Canis lupus familiaris: one gene and its partner. The protein of the gene in region 1 interacts with the protein of each later gene in a pairwise test. Links are inferred from orthologs where the notes say so. Each region holds a gene or a part of one and is shown in the gene's direction. Other genes may lie near its edges.

The links.
Region 2: the proteins of AQR (region 1) and ZNF830 interact in a two-hybrid assay, tested with the Homo sapiens proteins (2 studies listed by BioGRID and IntAct, with this or other methods). The link is inferred for Canis lupus familiaris from reciprocal best matches to the Homo sapiens genes AQR and ZNF830.

Annotation. Positions count from the first base shown.
Region 1 is NC_049251.1:2,945,497-2,949,561, reverse strand, and holds the start of AQR (RNA helicase aquarius), read left to right. Parts: upstream 1-1,220; 5' UTR 1,221-1,351; coding exon 1,352-1,426; intron 1,427-2,239; exon of another isoform or gene 2,240-2,590; intron 2,591-4,065.
Region 2 is NC_049230.1:38,350,094-38,353,493, reverse strand, and holds ZNF830 (zinc finger protein 830), read left to right. Parts: upstream 1-1,167; 5' UTR 1,168-1,214; coding exon 1,215-2,336; 3' UTR 2,337-2,864; downstream 2,865-3,400. Other genes in the region: CCT6B (T-complex protein 1 subunit zeta-2), read right to left, coding at 916-1,052.

The DNA of each region.
Region 1 (4,065 bases):
TTAACGATTTTATCTATTTACGCATGAGGCAGAGAGAGAGGCAGAGGGAGAAGCAGGCTCCCGGTGAGAAGCCTGATGTAGGGCTTGATCCCCACACCCGAGCCAAAAGCAGACAGATGCTCAACCACCGAGCCACCCAGGTGCCCCAAGTTTGAACTTAAATACTGTTTACTCTGCAAGCCTTCCTGATTTACCCAAACACTCCATCCCCTGTGCTCTCACTGTTTTTTCTGCATAACTCGATTGTCACTGTTGATCAGTGGTTTTCAAACTTTAGCGTGCACTGGAATCCTGTAAAGGGTTTGTTCAAAGCATACACAGCTAAGCCACATCTCAGTTTCTCTCATGTCTGGTGGTGGGCCCAAGAATTTGCATTTATGCAGGTTAACTGTTAGTGCTGTATTGAAATTGCACTTTGAGAAACAATAAGCAAAACTACATGCTTCTGGAAAGCGAAGGAATGCATCCTTTTATGTTCTATGTTTTAAATAGGGATAGGGATACAGGCCAAGTTTGAAGCTGTGTTTGGAAAGAAGAGAGGATAGGCAATAAAACATTTCCACTGCACCTAGCATAAAAAGAGATAGCAGTTGGGACAAACAACTTGAGCTTTACCGGTTATTCGGGTTACTGTTTTTTTTTTTTTTTTTTTTTTGTCTTTTATGTTGAAAATGCATTTTACACCTACTTTCTCCATTGCCTCTTCACTCAACTAATCTGTCACCCGCTTTTTACCTGGTAGCCCTTTTTTCCCTAGTATGGCAATAGGGATGGATTGCAAATAGCATGGGGAAAATTTTAAGGGCGTTGACTATGCTTATCCGGATTTTGGTGATGGTTTCACAGATGTATGACTGAAAACGTATCAAATTTTACACTCCAAAATACGTGCATGCAGTTCATCGTATGTCAACTTATACCTCCATGAGTCTGTTAAAAAACAGTTAAAGCCGAGCCCCGCATACTCACAGCGTATGTTTTTATCAACACTGCTTTTTTTTAGGTTCGAGAGAACCGCCAAGTGTCCCCGCCCCGCCCCGCCCCGCCCCGCCCCCGACAGCACCTGCCGGCCGCGTCCTTGAGACCCGGTCCCGACGGCCGGGTGCGTTCTCCGAGCTGCCCGCTAGGGGGCGCGCGCGCAGGCGGCGGCAGCCCCCGCGGTCCGTCGCTCAGCCCCAGCGCCCGCGCAAACTTCCGGTCCTGCTCCGCTCCGCTTCCGGGAGACGCGCGGGCTGCTGTGCGCGCCCCTCCGAGCCTGCGGAGACCGAGGCGCAGGGCGGGCCGGGCCGGCGGGCTCCTGCTGCGCGGAATTGGGCTCACCGCCGCCCCGGGCGGGCCTTTCCTCCCCACCATGGCGGCCCCTGCTCAGCCCAAGAAAATCGTGGCCCCGACGGTGTCCCAGATCAACGCGGAGTTCGTGACCCAGGTGCGCGCGGGCGAGTGTGGCGTGTGTGAAAGGGCCGCCGAGACCCCCGAGGCCTGGGGGCGAGGCTCTCCCTGGGGTGGGCGCTCCCGGGAGGCGTTCGTGCGTCCGTCCGTCCGTCCGTCCGTCGGCTCACGGGCCTTGACGGAGCATCTGCTCCGTGTCGGCGGCTGCAGGGGGCGCCGCGGAGACGCGTGAAAGAGGCCGCCCTGCCCTAAAGGGCGCGGGTTCCGCGGAGGAGAGACGCACGCAAAGAAGGCTCCTAAGCGAGCTCTTGTGTGTCGGACTCTGTCGCGGAAGCGGCGGGTTCGCAGAAAGAAACGGACCCCAGCCTGAGACTGGCAAGGCTTCGTAGCGGGGACGGGGCCTGCCAGACCGGGGACGAGAGCTTGCCTTGGCCGTGGAGCAGCCCAGGCCTCTGAGGGGGGCGACGGGAGTCTGGCAAGGCCCCGCTCCGGGCGGGCGCATCCGTGAAGCCCGCAGCCGTGGTGCCCGAGGGCCTTGGCCCACACCCGGTGACGGCGTTGCGCGGGGCGGCGCGGGCGGCCGGGAACAGGGAAGCCCAGCCCTTGGCCCCCACAGCGGGCGGGTGTCGGCCGAGTGCGGCTGCTCCCCGCAGAAGCTGTTACCCCATCTTCTTTCCTCTCTGGCCTCTGCCTCCCATTTGCCCAGGCAGAAGCCTCAGGGCCGTTTAGAGCCCTCCCTTCCCTTCCTCAACCACTCCGTGTTTGCCTCTGAACGTCTTTTAAACGTATCTGCTTCTGTGTATACTACGCGTGCTACCCGTGTTGACCGCCTGGACCTAGGCATCCTGACCTGTCTGGTGGTCTTTCCTCTTGCTCTTCTCCTCCCCGTTCTTCATATTGCTGCCAGTGACTTCACACAGATGCAATTCTGACCGTATCAGTTACCTTAACATCTTTATGAAGAGTTCTAATTTGTCTTGGGATAATGACCAGGATCCTTTGAAGTATTATGTGACCTGGCCTGTGCTCGTATCCAGTTTCCTCCCTCCCTCTAACTCTCCTTTAGCCGTACCGAACACATTTATATAAATCTGCCGTGCGGTCTTTCACCCCTTGGTCTTTCATCGTTGTTCAGAATCCTCATTTCCCCCCACTTTCCTTTATACGGTTAATTCATTGTCACCCATCTATGACATCACTTTGAAGAAGCTTTCCTGACAACTCCCTTTTCTTACATACCGGTGTTTTTGTGGTTAAAGCTGTTTATCAGTTTCCTTCACCTAAAGAGCTTACATTTTAGAGATGACTCCGACAAGTTAACAGTTTCAAACAGGGATCAGTGCTATCAGAAAAATGAGATGGGGTGTGTGAAAGGCAGTCAGGAAAGTCCTCTCTGACGTGACATTTGATCGAAGACCTGAATGCAAAAAAGCAGGCAGTTTTGGGGAAAGTAGGGAAACAATCCAGGGAAGAGCAAGTGCAAATGCTTTATGGTATGAATACAAAGGCCAGGATTAGAGACAAAAGAAGAGGGAGAATGGTAGGAGATGAGTATGTACAATGAGGTCTTACAATTTTAGAGGCAGAGATAAGTTTGGATTTCATTCTCAATCAGTAGATTTTAATTGCGATCCAGGGAATGATATTCTAGAAGGAATCCTCTGACTAATCTATGGAAACTGGGTGGGAGTGCGAGAGCAGTAGTAGGGTTACCAGTGACTCCAGGTATGAGATGATGGTGGCCTCTACTCTTAGAGTAGACTGATAGATTTTGAAGCTACAGGCAGCAGGACTTGCTGATTGATTGTGGAAGTTTGGAGGAAAAGACAAATAGGGCATATCTTGAACAGCTAGGTGAATGGTTTGGACATTGAGAAAGGAAAGGAGAGGGTTTAGTGGGGAGTATCAAGAGTTCTGTTCGGGCCTTGTTACATGTGAGATGCCCAGTAGACATTCAGTTGAAAATATTGAGAAGGCAGTAGAATATGTGAGTCTGGAGTACCTGAGCAGGTTCTGGGCTTGCATGTAAGTTTGACAATTCAGTTTTTTTTTTTTTTTTTTTTTTTTAATGCTACTGTATTTGGTGTCCTTTTTGTCTTTCAATAAAATTTATTTTGAACGGTCTATGCTCTCTTAGCTATAGTAAATGGGAAATGGAGAGAGTTTCTGTTTTACATGAGCCCGAAGAGTGTGGGGGAGGGCAGTATAATCCTGGAGGTAGTAGTGTGTGAGAGGTCATAGGTTAGACCCCATGGAGAAGCTAGATCAGATATTTAAAATAAGCAATTTGGATCAGAAAATAGGATTTACATATTTGATTAGAAGATCCTAAATCCATGAAAACAGATCAGATTCAGTTCTCTTAATGGTATGAGGTAAGTAAAAGATATCTTGTTAGTGTGTGGAATGAGGAAATGAGGAAACCATAGGATAGTTTGGAGAGTGATTGATAGTTTGAGAAGGTGTGACATAAGTGAACTGTTACTGTTTTGGAGAGACTTCCTCGGGGCCAGTGTCTTCACTGCTTGGGAGGCCCTATGAGTGTACTTACCGTGATAGGTAGTTAGCTATAGAAGCAAAGGCAGGAGGTTCATCTCGTTCCGCTTAGGTGGACAGGAAGGGTGATAAGCAATCAAATGATGAATAATACGGGAAGATAAGACTATAATAGAGTTC
Region 2 (3,400 bases), on another chromosome or scaffold:
TAGTCCCTTCTCCAACTGGTGAACTCTAACTTATCTTTCAAGGCTCTGATCAAAAATCTGTTGAGAGGGCAGCCCGGGTGGCTCAGCGGTTTAACGCCGCCTTCAGCCCAGGGTGTGATCCTGGAGACCCAGGATCGAGTCCCACATCAGGCTCCCGGCATGGAGCCTGCTTCTCCCTCTGCCTGTGTCTCTGCCTCTCTCTTTCTCTGTGTCTCATGAATAAATAAACAAAGCCTTAAAAAAAAAAAAAAAAAAAAAAAAAAAACCCTGTTGGGAGGCTTCTCCTTCTCCCTCAGTCCTATCACAGGATTCCTGGCCTAGATGCCACATACATACATACCACCCCTTCATCACCTGGGTGCCCAGCATCCGGTTAGTAGACAAGCGCCCTCTTTTACCGTTAATATGAATTCTGCTTACTCCTCTTAGAACGTCTCTCCCTGTCCTAAACATTTTTGTTCTCTTTTCCTCACTCTTCTAAAGAAGATGGTGATGCTACGGAGAGACGCTGAAAGGGTGGCTCGGAAGCAGCGTGGGCACAGAGCGTTCAGACAACTTGCCTAGGGGCGGACAGCTGGAAGGGAGCTTGGATGTGGACCCACACCTGCCGGGCCCAAGGCCTGTGCCCTTAGGGCTGCGACACGGCCCCACAAATCCCCAAGTAAAGACACACAGTGTCAAAGCGCGGGGGAGTTCCGCGGCTGGCGCTTCCAAGGGACCAGATCAGGGGCACGGGAACGTTAACGGACCCGCCCCGGGCCACGGGCGCCCTCCGCGCAGGAGTGACAACGAGGACGACGGGCCCACGGTGCTTCCTGCGGCTCCAGGCTCTCGGCGGAACGTGTGCCCGGGGCGGGCCGCGGCAGCCGGCCAACCCGGGTCCTGACCGCCGCTCCAACCGCCCCGCAGGCTCACATTTTCAGGGTGCCCTTGGGCCCCAAGTTGGTGCGCAGGACATCCTGCAGCCCTCGGGCGGCGCAGATATTGACGGCCAAGGCCGCCTGGGCCCGCGCCACCTCAGCCTTGGAGTTGATCGCCTGGACCGCAGCCATCGCACCACCCGGCGCGCCACCCGCCAGGTAGCGGCAGCCTCAGCCCGGATCCCGAGCGGAAGCCCGTGCCGGAGCCTCAGCCAATCCTCGCCGGGAGCGGAAGTGACGTCGCCAGGCCTCGCCCGCACGGAAGCCGCAATCGCTTCGGGTCGGGGCGCCAAGATGGCGTCCTCCGCCTCCGCTCGCGCTCCCGCGGGGAAGCGAGTTGTGAATCAGGACGAACTGCGGCGGTTGATGAAGGAGAAGCAGCGTCTCAGCACCAACCGGAAACGGATAGAATCTCCATTTGCGAAGTACAACCGTTTGGGGCAGCTGAGTTGCGCCCTGTGTAATACGCCGGTGAAGAGCGAGCTCCTGTGGCAGACCCACGTTCTGGGAAAGCAGCACCGGGAGAAAGTGGCCGAGCTGAAAGGCGCGAGGGAAGCCACCCAGGGACCGTCCTCCAGCGCAGCGCCTCAGTCAGCCAAGAGGAAGGTGCCGGACGCCGATGGCCAAGATGCCAAAAGACTCAAGGCCTCCCCGCTGCCTCAGGTGCAACCCTCCACATCCGCTTTGCCCACCAACTTTGACAAAGCAGGGAAGGAATCCACCAGAGCGACCCTCAGTAAGGCTTCGGGACTCGGTTTACTCCCTGATTATGAGGATGAGGAGGAGGAGGAGGAGGAGGAAGAGGAAGAGGGAGGAGGAGGGAAAGGAGGGGACTCGAGCAAGCCGCCGCCCGACGCACAGGGCAAGGACCACTCGCTTTCCTCCCCGAGGGAGGCAACAAGTAGTATGCTGCCAAGCGGTTTCTCGGATACAAATCCCCCCAAGGCCCCCTTAATTCCCCATTCAGGGTCAATTGAAAAAGCAGAAATACACGAAAAAGTAGTGGAAAGGAGAGAAAACACAGCGGAAGCATTACCAGAAGGCTTTTTTGACGACCCTGAGATAGATGCAAGGGTACGAAAGGTTGACGCCCCAAAGGATCAAATGGACAAAGAGTGGGACGAATTTCAGAAGGCCATGAGACAAGTCAATACCATTTCCGAAGCCATAGTTGCTGAAGAGGATGAGGAGGGACGGTTGGACCGGCAAATTGGGGAGATCGATGAGCAGATAGAATGTTACCGTCGGGTGGAAAAGCTTCGGAATCGCCAGGATGAAATAAAAAATAAGCTTAAGGAGGTTCTGACTATAAAGGAACTGCAGAAAAAGGAAGAGGAGAATATTGACAGCGATGATGAGGGAGAACTACAAGATCTGCTGTCACAGGACTGGAGGGTAAAAGGGGCTTTGTTATAGGGTTTCAAGACCCAAGATTTTTACACCCTCTACAATGGTACGAAAAGTGCTGTTTCTGGGTATGATTACTGGTTCCTTCGTGCGTGGAGATTTGGTGACCTAACTGGGTTGTTGACATACAATGAGCCTGTGAAGATAGCACTTTTGAAAATTGGTGTAAAATATTTTTGAGGTGAGGTTGTTTTTGCAATTTTTGAGCTATTGTATACTAAAATGTCAACTTTTTTCACACGTTAAGTGAATAATTTTGCGTTGTCAAATCTGTAAGCTGTAAATATTGTACCTCGTTAAATATATATTTACTTAAGTAATTCTGTTTTGAAATTTATAAATAAATAGAAGCCAGGCTAACAGACAAGCTTTTAGATAAAAACCAAGTGTGGCATTTGGGATATATGTGTTTTTTCTTTTCTGATCCCCTAAATCAACTCAACTTCCTGCAGCAGGAGGGTTTTGTAGAAAGGTGGGGAAGAGGGTTTGTTTTTTGCTTTTAAGAATACTATTTATAAACACTATAAGTCATTCAGGGCAAATCAGTTCTCTGAGTATTGTTTCTGTTTCAAAAACATGCACTACGAGAACATGGGAAAATATATGACCAAACCTCCTTAACCCAATTGTTTCTCTTGATTAAACCAATGATTCTTGGATGTGATGTAGGTGCACATGAAGATCACCTGCCAAGCTATTGAAAAGGTGCCTATGAAGTACCTTGGAGCTTTTAAAAAATTCGTGTGCCCAGAACCTACCATTAAATATTCAGTAACTCTGTGGAGTGGGGCCCAGGTATCTGTATTAGTTCTGAAAGCATCCCAGGTTGTTCTAGTATATGCCAAAGTAGAAGGGTCATGTTTAGGTCGCCCTAAATCCAGAACCCATCTATATGTTTTCACGCTTTGTTTTTTTAAATACCGCTTTCCATAAGTTTATCATCTACTGTATAAAAGAAATACCACCTTTTAGGTTTCATCCAGTCTTAAATTTATTACATTTCATAGTTAAATAAGGGTTCAGAGTTGCTGTCCATTGTAGGGAGGATAAGTTTTTTCTCAAGGAGTAACAAT